2 linked regions of the Mytilus edulis genome follow. The protein of the gene in region 1 interacts with the protein of each later gene in a biochemical or structural test. Links are inferred from orthologs where the notes say so. Each region holds a gene or a part of one and is shown on either strand. Other genes may lie near its edges. The genes, in order: serine/threonine-protein kinase NLK-like and transcription factor 7-like 2.

What was found.
Region 2: of the proteins of serine/threonine-protein kinase NLK-like (region 1) and transcription factor 7-like 2, one has a biochemical effect on the other in vitro, tested with the Caenorhabditis elegans proteins (4 studies listed by BioGRID). The link is inferred for Mytilus edulis from reciprocal best matches to the Caenorhabditis elegans genes lit-1 and pop-1.

The regions. Positions count from the first base shown.
Region 1 is NC_092349.1:90,583,182-90,591,131, forward strand, and holds the start of serine/threonine-protein kinase NLK-like, read left to right. Parts: upstream 1-4,777; 5' UTR 4,778-5,314; coding exon 5,315-5,496; intron 5,497-7,410; coding exon 7,411-7,540; intron 7,541-7,950. UniProt on the Caenorhabditis elegans protein: Has a role in the Wnt signaling pathway controlling the asymmetry of cell divisions during embryogenesis. Operates in the AB and EMS cell lineages influencing cell specification.
Region 2 is NC_092352.1:20,412,676-20,420,649, forward strand, and holds the start of transcription factor 7-like 2, read left to right. Parts: upstream 1-4,822; 5' UTR 4,823-4,936; coding exon 4,937-5,086; intron 5,087-5,214; coding exon 5,215-5,278; intron 5,279-7,974. UniProt on the Caenorhabditis elegans protein: Transcription factor. Part of the Wnt signaling asymmetry pathway. Binds to the consensus sequence, 5'-(C/T)TTTG(A/T)(A/T)(G/C)-3'.

The sequences.
Region 1 (7,950 bases):
TCATATATATATATATTTCATTTTCTGACCAGTATATAATATGTCTTGTTGTTTTATATGTACTAATAGGTAAATCGTTGCATTTCTTTCACTTTCCACTTCAAAAGCCATGACTACCATGACTACACCAAATGTATTTCTATGTAAAACAACACTAAAAACAGAAAACAAAAAGTATTCTGCAAATTGTGGCAACTTTCCCTTGAATATGTAGTTTACCTCTACCCATCAAATCCATTAATAAAAATATATACATGGTATTTGGTTTTCAATGATATATAACCAGAAATACATTTACTTAACAGTTGATGCCCCATGCTTTAAACATTTATATTAAAACTCATTATAAATGCATCATTTAATTTCACTATTTATAGGGCAAAGTATACTCAATCATATTGCCTTCAAATGTATATTTAAATTTCATCAAAATAAGAAACAGATGAAATAAAATGTACATCGATATTTGAAAACAGAGAGACACTGGATCCAGAGGTCAGTTCTCTTTTAATTTGAAAATCTCCCTTGAAAGAACAGTCTTGTGAAAATCTGCACTTTATGAGATACAACTTAAGATGTTTCTCCAGTATAAGTCATAGTTTAATTTTTCGAAATTGTTAAATAATGTTGAACGATTATTTGTTAACTATAAACATATTGTCAAATGTGACTAATTATTTGTTTTAGCTCATTAATACAATGATTTATTTGAATGCTCTATAAAACAAAATAAAAGAGCAGAGTTCCAATGTGCTCTGTGTTGCACTTATTCTATATTTTCAAGAGACATACATAAATTAGGCCGTTAGTTTTCTCGTTTGAATTGTTTAACATTGTCATTTTGGGACCTTTTATAGCCGACTTATATAAGGTATGGGCTTTGCTCATTGTTAAAAGCCCTACGGTGACCTATAGTTGTTGATTTATGTGTTATTTTGGTCTTTTGTGGAGAGTTGTCTCATAGGCAATCATACCACATCGATAGGCGAATCCAGGCCCCCCCCCCCCATTCGTGGGGAAAATTTTGTTGATTATATAGGGAATCATGGAAGCATGACTAGAGAGGCCCCCCTTTAGGTCAGTCAGCGCCCCTCCTCCCCTCTTGATAAAGTAAAAATATCGATTGCATAATCCTTTAAATTACAGCCTAGAAAATTAAAGAAAATAACATTGTATTTATATAATTCTTTAGGATTACATAATCTAAATCTTTAAATAATGTTTTAAAAATACTTTGATATAGATAACATTATACAATATAGATAGACATTACGTATTATTTGTTTTTACAATCCATAAAGATGGTTATTATAATACAAAACATAATTCTGTCTTCATTAACAATCATGACCCAATTCTTTTAGTGTAATTTCATCCCCCCCCCCCCTATACTTGCTATTTGAGGCATAAAACATGGAGAAATACCTTTAGAAGGGGTATAGAAAAACTGTCAAGTAACACACTGTCCACAATAGGGTTTATATTTGTAAACACAAATCAAAGAAAGAAAATTGTGGTTTCGGTTGTCATGGGTCATGCCACACATTTTTAAACTAGATACCCCACTGATGCATGTGATGATTGTGGCCAAGTTTGGAATAATTTGGCCCAGTAGTTTCAGAGGAGAAGATTTTTGTAAAAGTTAACGACGTGGGACGCGGGACGCAAAGTGATGGGAAAAGCTCACTTGGCCCTTCTGGCCAGGTGAGCTAACAATCCAAACATATTTATAATCTTAAATAACTAAAATGCTATAAAAGCACATTTCTCTAATTTTAAAAAATATGTTTTCTTTCATTTTTATGTTGATAAGTGAATAATTGAACAAATCTTGTGTATGGACACAGATGTATGACAATGACATATCTCACTCATTACAATCTCAATCTTTTTCAATTAAATTAAAAACATCCAATCAAATTTTAGTAACCTTAGTTCTGAGTATTTTGAGATGGCTGTTATTATTACAAATATTACATTAAAAGTCAGGATGAAACATTGTAAGTTATAAAAATACATTGTCATATTTTAAGGACATGTCTATAAATTGTTTTATTAATCTAAACTATTTCATATATTTTTACAATACAATGGGAGACAAATCATGTTTAACAATTTTGATTTTTGATCAATATAGATTGTCTCCCTTATTTTAGAAAAATAAATTTAAGATGAATATCATTCTATTTATCAATTTCAACTGCAGTTAAGATTTGTTTTCTTCTGTAGAAAATACTATTTTATAAACAAATAGAATAGAGAATGGAAAAGGGGGAATGTGTGAAAGAGATGACAACAGAAAACAGCTCATGGCCAACAATGGGTCTAAATGCAGCAAGAAAATATTACACCCAGGAGCAGGCTTCAGAAGGCTGCATATATATATTTAAGTCTCTCACAACTGTTATAAATGTGATACGGTCTTTAGATCAATACATGTATTTGTAAAAAAAAAAAGTGTTGTTCTATTGATTGATGACATAGGTAATTGGAGACACTCCTCCCAGAAACATCTTGCCTTGAAACACCCTGCAACATAGCTTTAGTGAACAAGTCACATCAAATGCTCCAACATAAATATTAGGTAAAGGTCAACCCAAAATCTCTGAGAATGTTTTTTTCTTAGTAGCAATCTATAAAAAAAATTAGGATGGCATGCTTTCACATCTGTGAGAAAGTGATCTATAGAATGGTTTTACATTAACAGGTTTAAGTTCTTATAAGCTTGCTTTCAGTTATTGCAAGTATTATGTGATAACAGTATTATTTAACATTAAAGTGTGTTTTTCTTTATTAAAGCATTTTTTGTTGTTGAGTTTTTGATATCTATCATACTTTTATCCTAGACCTCAGTGCTTTTCTTGTATTGTTCTAATTGTATTTTTTATTTATCTTTTGATAGTCAGCTGTTGTGAGAAGTATATACTCTGTGGGAATCAGATCCATATTTTACCTACGATCGTTTGTAATTTTTGAGTAGTTTCTCTTCCATTGATTTCAATCTAAGATATATACCCAGTGACGTGTGTGAAAAAAGTCAAAGTGAACATTTAGGTCATATATTGACCTATAATGGTTTACTTTTTTGAAATTGTTATTTGGATGGAGAGTTGTCTCATTGGCACTCACACCACATCTTTCTATATCTATTTGTGACTGAACTAGTATTTTCTTTCCTTCTCTAATTAAAAGTATTACAGTAGTGGTCAATAAACTGGTTCCTCTTGCGTGACTGTGTGTGTCAGTGTGATTATCATGATGCTGATAGATTATCAGAGTTTAAAAACGCGAAAATGGAACAATATCTACAGGTCCAATTCTTACAAAACGTTTTTTTAGTGCTTGACATGATATTCATTTGCTACTTGCTAGTGCTGTTCACTTAGCTTTGAACTGTATGTATTGGTCCTCTTTGGTGATTTCTGATTTCCCCGCTTTTCTGAGTAGCCACCTACATGTCTGTTGTACACACATTAAATGTTAAATTTGTGTTACATATCTTCCACTTACAATTAAAACTATACATACCAGTTTTAAGGCAATAATCTTCTGTCTAAACTCCACATTACATAAGGCTCTCCAAGAATCAATGATCTGTTATATATAATGATGCTACATTGATCACTCAGTAGATGCCCTATCTTTAAATCAATCTAAAAATATCAATGAAATCTAATTTTATCTGATCAATTATTCCACATCTACATGGATCTATAAGTTCATTAGTTGTAACCATCTTTCCACAAGATAATTCAACAACTTTTCAAAATGGATACAATTTGCAACATGAAAAAAATAATAAAAAAAATAATAAATTTACAATTTTCGTAAAATCATTCTTGAAATTCATAGACTAGTATCACATCTTACATCTGAACATTTTTTTTTTTATTTTTCCCAATCCCTGTTAATTCTGCCCCAAAAAAACTTCGTTAAAAATCATGAAAAAAAGGAGGATGTTTTCCCTTACATGCATGACCCATCACCTGGAAAATAATTATGATTACTGACTTGATATTTATATACACATATATTTTGTTTTTATTTACACATTCCCATGTATTTAATATAGTTTAATAATAACTTATGCCAAAGCCCTACCCCCTCCCCCCCTATCTCAAATTTTGTAAGTCTGTTTAAAAGTCTAAAAATGAAGAATTTTTCCTTCCTTTTCTACCTCTTTTGAAGTTCAAACAACAATTGGAATGTAAGAAAAAAATCATAGTGCTTAAGGCTATCTTAAAAAAATGAATTAAGTTCATATTTAATTTCTCAATCATACTATTGAAAAACAATTTTAATCTCCTTGAAGTTCAGTTTTATAATTTTTTTTATTAGAAAAATAAAAAATTCTACAAAGTTTAGAAATTATTCTTTCATTAATTTTTCAAAGGATGGATTTTTTGCAAACATAAATGTATCAAAAAAAATAATAATTTTGTCTTTATTAATTTTTGTCTTTTTTTTCCATTCAATAAAGTTTTATTAAATATTTTAATTTGTACAAATCCATCAATTGAGCTTCATGATAGTTCAATTCGACAAATACATGAACAATTGTCCAATTAAACAATAAACAGATAATTATCAATAAGTAAATCCTAATTAACCAATTATACTCCATGTCATAAGAACATTGTTATTTTCCCAGTGTTTTTCAACATTTGTGTAATTGAAATTATCCTTATTCGGATTACGTGTATATATATTCGTAGGATGAGATTTTTATGACGTGATCAAAACATGAATAAAGAAAACAAGGCTTCCACAGTCTACATCAGTCCTTTGTCGTCATGATGATCACTTCCGTAAAAAGAAATAATTAGTGGGCGTGTCTTTCACAAACACGTGCTTTCGGTTTGACATATTGTTGAAGTCCTTCTTCAGTTACCGGACATTTTAAGAAAGTATGAGTCTTAAATGGATTGTATTATTTTGAGATTTTGATAACAACTATCTTAACATTTTTCATTGATTCCTAGATGTTTCGCTAGTGGATAATTGAAAAAGATTAATTAAATTTTACTTTTCTTTTCGTGACCTACAACAGACAACATTGCATTTTGGGAAAGATTGAAGCGTTGTCACGTGATTTCTTTGTGTGCCGTACTCGCGTGTGAGTCAGAACCCTGTCACCAAATAACACGAAATTATCTTTATGTTTTGGTAAATTTATATAAGATTTCAACACCAAACTCTCCAGTTAATTCGGAGAGTCATTAGTGAGTGTGGATGTATCGGACTTAGAAATGCAACAGTGAAATTTGAGCATTCCAAGCGTTTTTTTCGTGCAGGCAGTGTTCGTGGGGTTGTAATGGCAGTGGTTGGACATAGACACGCGAGGCATATCATGGCTTTTCAAGGAGGGGCACCACCCGCTCCATCTCAGCATGCAATCCTCACAGCAGCAGTAGCTGTCCCATACTTTCAGGTTGTTCCTCCTCAAGACGTACAACCCGACCGGCCAATCGGTTATGGGGCTTTTGGTGTTGTATGGTGAGTGTATATTTCTTTGTTCGTCTCGTGCAAGTCTGTTCATAGAATATTTTAAACAAAGAAATAATAATAAAATGTTCATTTTCATATTATTCAATTAGTCAAAATAAAAAAGAAACGGGTACCGTTCATTGCCTCATCTTCGTTTCAACTTCTTTGTTCTTGAAGTAATTTCTTTGTGACATTGTCACAAAATCAGCTGATTGTTCGTGACAATGTGAACACAATTTACCTTTTTACAAATAAAGCATTCCATTCATAATTTAACTGGATTGATAGATAATTGTTATCAATTAAACTTAATAGAAAAACGGTATAAGATACAAATTAAAATTTATATGAAATTATCTTGTACGGACAGGTGAAATATATTTTGGAATTCATTTCATTTGATGTGACTTTATATTTGATTAGTAGACATGAACTTAGAGAATTTGTTTTTGTTATGAATTAAAGATATGTTGGTCATTAAAAATAGTTAAGTATGATCCACAGTCAACTTTTAGCTTTTTGTAAACAATAATAGTTTCACAAAAAAAATATCAAAACATCTTGGAAAAAAAAATTCCAGGTTTCAGTTCACAGTTGTGGTCCAATTGTTAACCTTATATATCTATCAGTTTTAAAAAGAAAAAAATCCCATCCAGCTCACACAGAAGTTAAACATATACTTATATTTTATAGGATGTTCAACATGTTCAATGTAAACAAATGAAAATAAACAAAAGGGTATTCAAGATACATTGTCATGAATGTGGTCACTTTAAACTATATACAATCCAAAAAGAAGCAAACAAAAAAACGATCGTTTTAAAAGAATATGTTAATTTGAAGCATTATTTTTAACAACCCCAGCTGTCAGATACAATACTTGAAAAAGTAAAACGAAAATCTTTTTTAAACGAGACCTCATGCCAACTTCCTTTCTGTAAATTGGAAATTGTCTTAAACTACATATAAAATACCCATTTGTAAGTATATATTGATGCATTTGTATAGTTATGGGTAATACTACATGTTTATTATGTGTGACATGCACAAGTATTACTCAAGAAAATTGTGCTACATGTACATGTACCACATTCCTACATTATTTGTTTATGAAATTTTTATTCAAAAATCAAATCAGAACATGCAATCTGATTTTACGATTAATCAATTAAGTTTTCAAGTCAACTCTTAACCCTATCTTAAGTCTTAAATTGATATATTACATGTTACAAGAAGAATATTTTATATCTGAATTTTGTTGCGTTGTATACGTAAAGACAATTTAAATGCACAGAAACCTTGATGTTAAAATGTTGAACTTGTGATGAAAAGACATTAGTTCTAGGTGACTGTCCATAGTGATCATTGACAACTTTTAACAGGTCAAAAAAGTCATTTACATTTTATTCATAGAAGTTAATGACACCGAGGTAAATGACCACAAAAATTTCATGTCAAATTTTAACATGATCTCAAAATGTACTTAAAAAAGATAGATACTTTTTATATAGTTTTGATTTTAAAAGACATCGATATCAATATTGAAATTTGTAGTTGATACGGGTGAAAAAAGTATAAACAGTTGGTTGTTTGTTGTACAGAATTGATTCACATGACTGTGTTGTATGGTTGCTGTCTTTTTGACATTTATTCTTCATCTCATACAAAAGATTTATAATTCGCTTTGCAATTCCTGAAAATTATGACACATAAAGTTTGTATGAAAAAAATAATTGTATGATTGCTGGTGACTTTCAGTCTACTATTCATAAGTTCGTATGATGTGGATGTAAATAATTATAATCTCTTCCAAAACGAGCAAAACATGCACAACAAAGTCAGCTATGAAAGATCACAAATTTGAAACCATTCATAAATTTTATAATTTGGTCCACCATAATTGAAAGTTTAATCTATTTATAGGTCAGTGACGGACCCAAGAGATGGAAAGCGAGTGGCCCTGAAGAAAATGCCAAGTGTGTTCCAGAATTTAGTCTCCTCCAAGAGAGTATTCCGTGAACTGAGAATGCTTTGTCACTTTAAACACGACAACGTAAGTACAAGAACATGATGAAGATTTTTCAAAATATATATATATACCGTACATGTAAATCATCATGTACAAGTAATGTATTTAATTTATATAGTTCTAGCAACTCAAATCATTGCTTTGATTTGTCAGGTCTTTCATTATTACTCATTTATGCACAGCTTTGTAAAAGTTAAAATAACATAAAAACTGATCTCTGCTCGAGGAAAATTGGAAATTGAAGTCCATAGTCAAATAGCAAAATCAAATTCTCAAACACTGCTACACACCATACGAATGTACAACAACTATCTTATTCGTCAGTATTCCTGACTTGTAAGTGTCTTGAAGGTTTCCGTTATCTGCAAGGAAACAATTTTTTTTCATTCAGTAAATTTTTCCACTTTGGGGGGTTATTTTTCTACTCTTGAAAT
Region 2 (7,974 bases), on another chromosome or scaffold:
CATCTGCCTTTATCTATCATATTTATGGCTGTAATTTCCAAAAAAAAAAAAACACCATATTTGTGTTTTGTTCGGTTTTTTTTAAAACTTTGTTAAATAAGGGAAGATAACTCAGATAGAGTAATTTATAATTGAAATGTGTTGAATTTGCCTTTTTTTAAGTAGCAAGATAAGTTCGGTAACCCATTTTTCTTTTTTTCTTTCTGAGAGCATGTTATAGGAGCTATCTTGTCACATTTTAGCTTAAAAGTCTATCATGAAATTTCCTTTTGATCACACAAAATTGATTTTCCGTGCCTGACAATTTTGCACAACCTCTCGGGTGAAAAAAAGGTCCGGTAACCTATAATTTTTATCAAATCTAAAAAAAAATTGCATAATAAAAACTTCATTTTGACAAATTATTAATTTATTATGATGAAGACATCCACATAAACACAGATACTTATTGCTGAACTGTCTTCAAATTTGTTTAGAAACGGCTTCTTGATAATTCAGAGAAAGCCCACATCTTTTTATTTTCTATATTCCGAATCAAGTTGACCAGTTAAAGAATACACATTTTGATAGGGTTTTTTTTCGTAGTTAGGATTTGAGTCGTTTGTGCTCAACTAGTATATAATTGTTGAGAGGCTAGCCTAGCTGAAGCACGCGTTAGAGTGCGGGGGTTTCTCGCTGCGTCGACCGACCTTCTAATCTATAGTCGGGTTGCTGTCTCTTTGACACATTCTCTGTTTCCATTCTCAATTCTATAATTTATTTCTTTTTCTTTTTTGTAAGTTGAACATTTTGAAATAAGAACCGATGACAGCAAAAGACGCAGGCGAGACACCAGATTCCGCGGGACCCGATACCCTTTATCAAAATATATACACACTGTTGAAATATGTATATTTTATTAACAATTGTTTATAATTCATTTTTATTGGAATGGAATCCTATTATTTACACAGACAGTAAGAAGACTATTTGTTATATTCTGCTATTTTTTTTCCATTGTGGAATAGGAATAATTTAGTTGTTTCTGGATTCTAAAATTATCCATAAAGCATTGCTACAAAAAATTCACAATAGACATTATACGTATCACACCGCCCCCCCCCCCCCCCCCCCTACCACCCAAAACAATCATGTTTGGCATGCAATTTCTTTAATGTAACATTTGCAAAACAAATCCGCAGTAGGAATTCCATTCAAGAAAAATGGAACGTGGAATCTTCCACTCGCCCCTATGCAACTGTGACACCCAATTCATACAAAAATGGACAGGCGTGTAATCATTACAACACTGCATATGATGAGCTTAATATATCGATGGGTGCAAGTACATTCCTATTACTGTGCCTTTTAACGATATTTACATAAACCATTTTCGAAACTTGAAATTCAATAAAACCGCCGTAAAAACACCGGTTAACTGTATCCAGCAGCATGCGGAGCAGAAAACTATATTTCCAATGAATAAAGTAAAATTCTCAAAATCGCATTGCCATAAATTAATGTCACGTCCAGTTGATGTTAATGTCCAAACAATAAGCTACCACCAGTATCTTGTTCGTGTTTATATTTTGGTGGTTTTTTTTATGTTCCTTATACGTCTTCAAGTTTGTATTCCCTGATTTTTATTAATTTTCCTTTGCATATGATTTCATCAAAGCCTTCATATGGTTACACTTTATTTAAAAATCTGTATACACATCTGTAGATGAAAGTAAATTGCTTAGTATAGGACCATGGAAGTATTATATCAGTGACCGTCAATATAAAATACTTGGGTTCCATAATAGGAGAGAATGTTATTTTTTCGTGAAGTTTTAACGCATTTGTACTTTCATTTTAGCCTGAATATGAACAGTTATAATTTCCATGACACTAATTTTATGGTTAAACGGGTTAAATATATTATAGCTTATTTATTTATCATTTACAAAATTTAGATATTTATAAATTAAAAATGTAAATGATCTGCTCTCATTACTGAGATACTTAATATATAGCATATACTTCTATTGTAATCAGCTTCTGGAATACTAGATATACGGCATAAATATAATGTAGTCAAATTTATATTCCATGCAAGCCACCCCCCCCCCCCCCCCCCCCCCCATTGCAACATTATTCAGGTAATTATTAAATAGTTATAAAACAAAACAATACTGCGCATTAACAAATGTATAACATAAGTCTGTTCAAAAAGGAATAAAAATAAAATGTTACAAAACAAAACAATTCCGCTTCAGTAGGGTATAATTTACGCTCAGTGATTCTTTAATATAATAAAAGTAACATAACCTTCGAGGGCGGTATACATGGCTATCAAATCCGTTTCGCTGATTTCTTTCATCTTTTTCTATCGATTTCTATGAAATTTTAATTTCATCCACCCGTCGCGAATGTGAATAAAACATATTTTTTTTTCATTTTAATATTTCTATAAGGAGCTGTTTTCACTATTTAAATAATATTTATCTATTCATTACGGTTAGTTTTAAGGTAACTGTTAAAATTATTAATAAAAAAAACCAACAACAACAAACAACCGAAAAAACCCGATACATTAAAAAAACTGGAAAAGTGAAAAAACAATAATACAAAATTAAGCACCAAGGGTAGAAAGACTTGATCATTTTGAGTAGCGCTAATTGCTGCATCAGAATCGCTTACGGGAACCATTTCTGCTTGAACCTAAAGCTATTCGTAGAAATGTATCTATGTATTTTGTAGATATTATAAAAACTTTGTAATTTTATGTTATTTGCTTATTGTGACACTATGGTACACGAACAAACACACACACACATACGCGCAGATATGTCTAAATTTAATCTCCAACGTCTGCGATGAGAGAAAAGGCAGGGTTTAGATATTCTCTTAAAAGGTCTGTATTTCTCGATTGCCTCTTCTGAGTGAAAATATCTTTAGAAAGATTTAAGTTGTAAGGCTTCTGAGACGAGATTTCGCAATGCTTTTGAGGGACGACAATTTAGTTCGTGGAAAGTAGTGCAGCTTTCAAATTTGGGCCGATCGGAATATTTAATTAAACAAAATTTCCTGACTTTAAAGTATTCTTTTTCTAATTCAGTTTTAATATTTATTTTCAACGGTGTGGGATCAAAATAATTATTAATAAAAAAAAACTGTTATACTCTCAACCTCACAATCTAATTATCGCTCCTTATTCTATTTTTTTTATCCGATTCTTTGTATGGACAAAAAAAATTAAAGACAGAAAAGAAGAAAATCAAAACTATACAGCTATAAACAAAAATGATTAATAATTGTTATATTTTTTTCATAATCACCCGTAAGTAAGTGATTTTGAATTATACCAAAAAGAAATATATCTTTCAAAACGTTTGATCTGAGACAATTTTAACACAGGTTTAATCTACTATTTATTTTTTCAGAATATTTTTAATTGACTTTAGTCTCATTTTATTTTTAAAAGAGGAATTAAATGATAAACTTCGTGTAATATTTCAACTAAAGGATATTAATTGCTTACCCTAGGTTTATAAACAGTTGCCCTGATAAGAAATTTAGAAGACGACATCAGTAAACAAGTGGAATATAAACATTTCCAGATTATTTGAAAGATGATATCCTTGATGTTTTCTTGTAAACCACGTACTCTTTAAATCTACATTCAATAGTTCTCACAAATTTTCAGAAAATGCATAATGTGTGCGAACGAGTATCTGCTTATTCTCTGTTTCCACCGGAATTACTTTACCTGTCAAGGAAAAGACAAAATGCAATACACATATCATAAATTTCTGATGACCAAAAAGTATAATTTTCCTTGTCGCATCCACTAGATGGCGATAGTTACAAGACAAACAAATTGTAAACAAACTAGACTGAATGTTCAATCTGAACTGCCATATAAGGTATCACAAAGGCTTGCCGACAAAGATCAAAGGAAACCGACGGAATGAGTTTAATACAAAAATTCCAATTTCTCATATAACACATTTCACTTTACCGTTGAAAATGACAAATCCTTTGTTTAAATAATTACTAATACACAAAAAATATAAGATTGAAGATATAATTTGAACAAATCAATGAATTTTTCTCCCTGAACACTTGACCTTTAGGGTGCAAGCCCATCTATCGGATCGTTGAGATTTGAGATAAACAGGAGATCAAAGGTTCTGTGTTAAAACATTATATGTTAAGACGCACAAGAAGAATGGAGGCTATTTAAACTCTTTTCGTCCAGGACAGTTTAAATAAGTCCATACGAAGTCCATCAAATATCTGACTTAAATAAATTAATTTAAATTATAATAATTTATATTATTTAAAATATCAGTTTTATATAACCGTTTTCCTATGACATTTCATCTTCAAAAAGCTAATTTTCTTAATTTAAGGCAAAATATTTACTAATCACATCAAAATCAATTATTCCAGCAATCAAAACACATTGCAAAACGAAGGAGAAGCACACATCATTTTTTCATTGCACTTGCACGCATTTACTTCAACTGTAGAGCTCTAACATCAAAGGGAAGGTACCTGGGGGCAAACTCCTCTGATATTTAAAATCGAATTACTTATGTAAATAATGACATGATGTTTGCAATTATTGCACGAACTAAGTAATATCGTGCTATTATTTTGATTGTAATGGTCAATTTAAAAAATGATTTAATTTATTTCGTACTTTTTTTAAGGAATGTATTTTCTGTAAAGTTGATTTTATTGTTTCAAATATCAAATTTAATAAATACGTGTCCCTTTCGATGACCTCCGTCATACCGAACCTATTTTGTAAGCCGAGATTTGATTGGCTATGAAGTAAAGTGCTCGTTGCCAATTGGGTACTTTCCCATCTGAATGTCTTCACAAGTTATTCATGGCGGAAACCAAACGTGTATGGGAGATAGTGGCACAAAAAAGAGTGGGATTTATTTAGGTTTTTGGTGAAATGACAATGCCGCATGTGAACTCTGGCGGCTCAGAAGACTTCTTTTCAAATGACGAAGTGAAAGTGTATAAAGATGAAGGTGAAGAGGAAAAGAGATCATCTGAAAATTTATCCGAAGACAAATTAGGCTTAGTAACGGAAACCGAAGAGGTTCGTAAAAATGTTGATTGAAATAATTACATCAATGGAGGAATTACCCTTTGATCTTACCATGTGATACGTTATACATCAACGAGGATATTTGCTGCAAATATAAGGGAATTTTGTTTTCTTTGCAGGGTAAAAATGGTAGTTTGGGGAACGGATACGACGGTGACAAAACAGAAAACGGGCGAGAAGATGGTAAGCTTTAATCATAATACAGTATTCCCTTTGATCTTTGTTAAGCAGCACACCGTTCTATTTTTATCACATGATAATATTATGGTCGCTTTACAACTCTGTTATTTAATTGTTAAGGTTCGTTATTGTAGTAAAATGGACTCCTCTTCAAAACATTGTGTTGGTCAGTGAACTGTAAATTTATTTACTACTTGTAACAACAGTTTTATTCACTTGCACTTTTATTTATAAGATGATTCATAATACAGGTTTTTGGTTATGTTTACACTTCAGTTAATAGAGTCAAATTTGATCCTACAATTTTGAATTGCCTGGGAATGAAGACCATTGGGTCAGATAAGCTAAGCTGACCAATGGTCATTGAGAGTGGAAGTTGTTTATTATACAGATAATTAGATAATCAGATCACAGTCTGTCAGATTTGATTGAAATCACAACACATGTCAATTAAACATGTTAATTGTTTTGACAACAATATCCTTTCTGTCTAAAATCCATTATCTTTTGTTTTCTCATACAAAAGGCATTTGATTCATTTATTTTAAAAGTTAATGTGAGGGCAAACAGAACAACAGTTTTCATAATCCCCTAAAACTGTTAGAGTAATGAAAATTAAAAAAGATGTGAAATTTCTCACCCAAAGATAATCAAGGATAAAAAAAATCTGAAACTTCTAATTTGAATAATTTTGTGCCGACTGAGTTTCAATATGTATAATTATATTTCTTAATTTTTACATAAAAGAAGAGTTTTGTCAAAGTAAATTCCAGTATACATTGAATGCACCCTGGTTCAATTAAAAAAATATATAAACAGAGAGCTTTAATTTGGTTTGTTATAAACAGATAGAAATATTTTATTGAATAGTTTTTATTAAGTGTATTTTTTATCAGTTAACAAAATTTAATTTTCAATAATTATCATATCATAACTGTTATCTTCAGATTTGGACTTTCTTATGATCCCTGAAAAGTTGTTATCTTCAGATTTAAATTTGAGAAGCAACTAGACAAAAACACTGAACAAAAGAAATAGTAAATATCTTTGGGTTTTTTGTTCAAAAGAAGATATATTTCTATTGTTGGTTTGACAACTTTAAATTAATTATAAGTGTAACCAAGCTGAACATGCCCTCCAACCAAAGAATAATCCTTTATATACTGATGGATCTTAATACAAAAATTAGGTCTAAAATGGCTTTTTCGAGAACATCTTGAAAAAAGGTAAATTCCTTGGGGACATATAATAGTGACATTGTGTAATAAAATTATACAATTTTCAAACAAAAACATCTCATACATTATTACAACACATGTAAGCCATCCAATGGCCAGACAAAATCATTCAGACTTATAATTAGGTCCAAAATGAAAAAAAAAAAAACTGTTGGAGAACTGAAACTTTTGTACTTCAATTAAACAACACTTTGTTAATTTTCAGTGTATAACTTTTATGAGGGGGATCGGAGGGCTCCTGATCTCAAAATCCTGGGCTTAAAAAGATGTAATCAAGAGGTCCCGAATATTAAATAAAAATAAATCCATGCCAGACATCCCGAAATTCGAAAAAAGAATTCCTGGATCCTTAAAGGTTCAATCCCAAAATCCAGAGATTAAAAATACCTGATTCTGACGTCCTGAAAAAGGTCCTGCCCCCTCTTTTATTAATGAAGTTGATAATAATTTCCAAATTAGCCTTGTTCAGAGTTAGTCTGTATCAGCTGCAAAGGGACTGTGGTTTGGTGCATCTGAAAATTGTTTGTTTACAATAATTTGTATTCTGTCATCATAATGTAGCCATGTAGATGATGACAATGGGCGGACTTGATTTCTGCCATTGTTTCTAAGGGTATATGATTAAGTTGTCAACAGTAATTGACAAGTGCTTACATTCAGCTGGTACTGACAGTCTCCTTCAGAAGATATCATCACTTCAAATTCCATACACAATTTGTAGACCATTAAGTCCTTTTCTATCAAAAATTGGAAACATATGGAAGTTTTCACTAAACAGCAAAATAAAAAAAATGAAAAAGTTAGGCCGTTATATTATCAGTTTGGAAATTTCACTGGTTAGGAAACATAGATATGATGCATATATTTATAAACTCAAATTTTAAAGCTGAAACCCATATCTATAAAAAGGAACAAAACTTTTCTTTGTCCATTGTACATGTATGTAAGTAATTGTTTTGAATAACAAAAAACTTCACTTTTGGAACCATTTTCAACTTACAAGTCTTGTTGAGGGACAAATGTTTTTGATTTATTTTAGGATTGAGTCGCAGCATCCTTTCATGTGTAACTCAATTATCTGTCATACTTTTGCTTTGAAATAGTTTTTATGTTTTGATTATTTTGTAATCATTAATCTTTAATATGAACCACAACATGAACAATTTAACCAGTGGTAAAAATTGTTTGAAAGAATACCATGAGTAAGTTGTAGGTTTTTGCCTTCCATCCCAAAAAATTGACATCATAATATATCCTAAAGTGCTGAAAGTTGCTTAAAAACAAAATGCAATTATTTAAACACAACTTTTAGTCTTGTATCAACCAACCTGGACCATATGAATGTCTTGACTGTTCAAGGTTGTTCATGTATAAAGCTCAAGCTAGAAGTTGCATTTCATTTCTTGTTTACTGTCCTCTTTACTATTTTGTATGGACTTTGCTTATTGTTAATTCCCATAC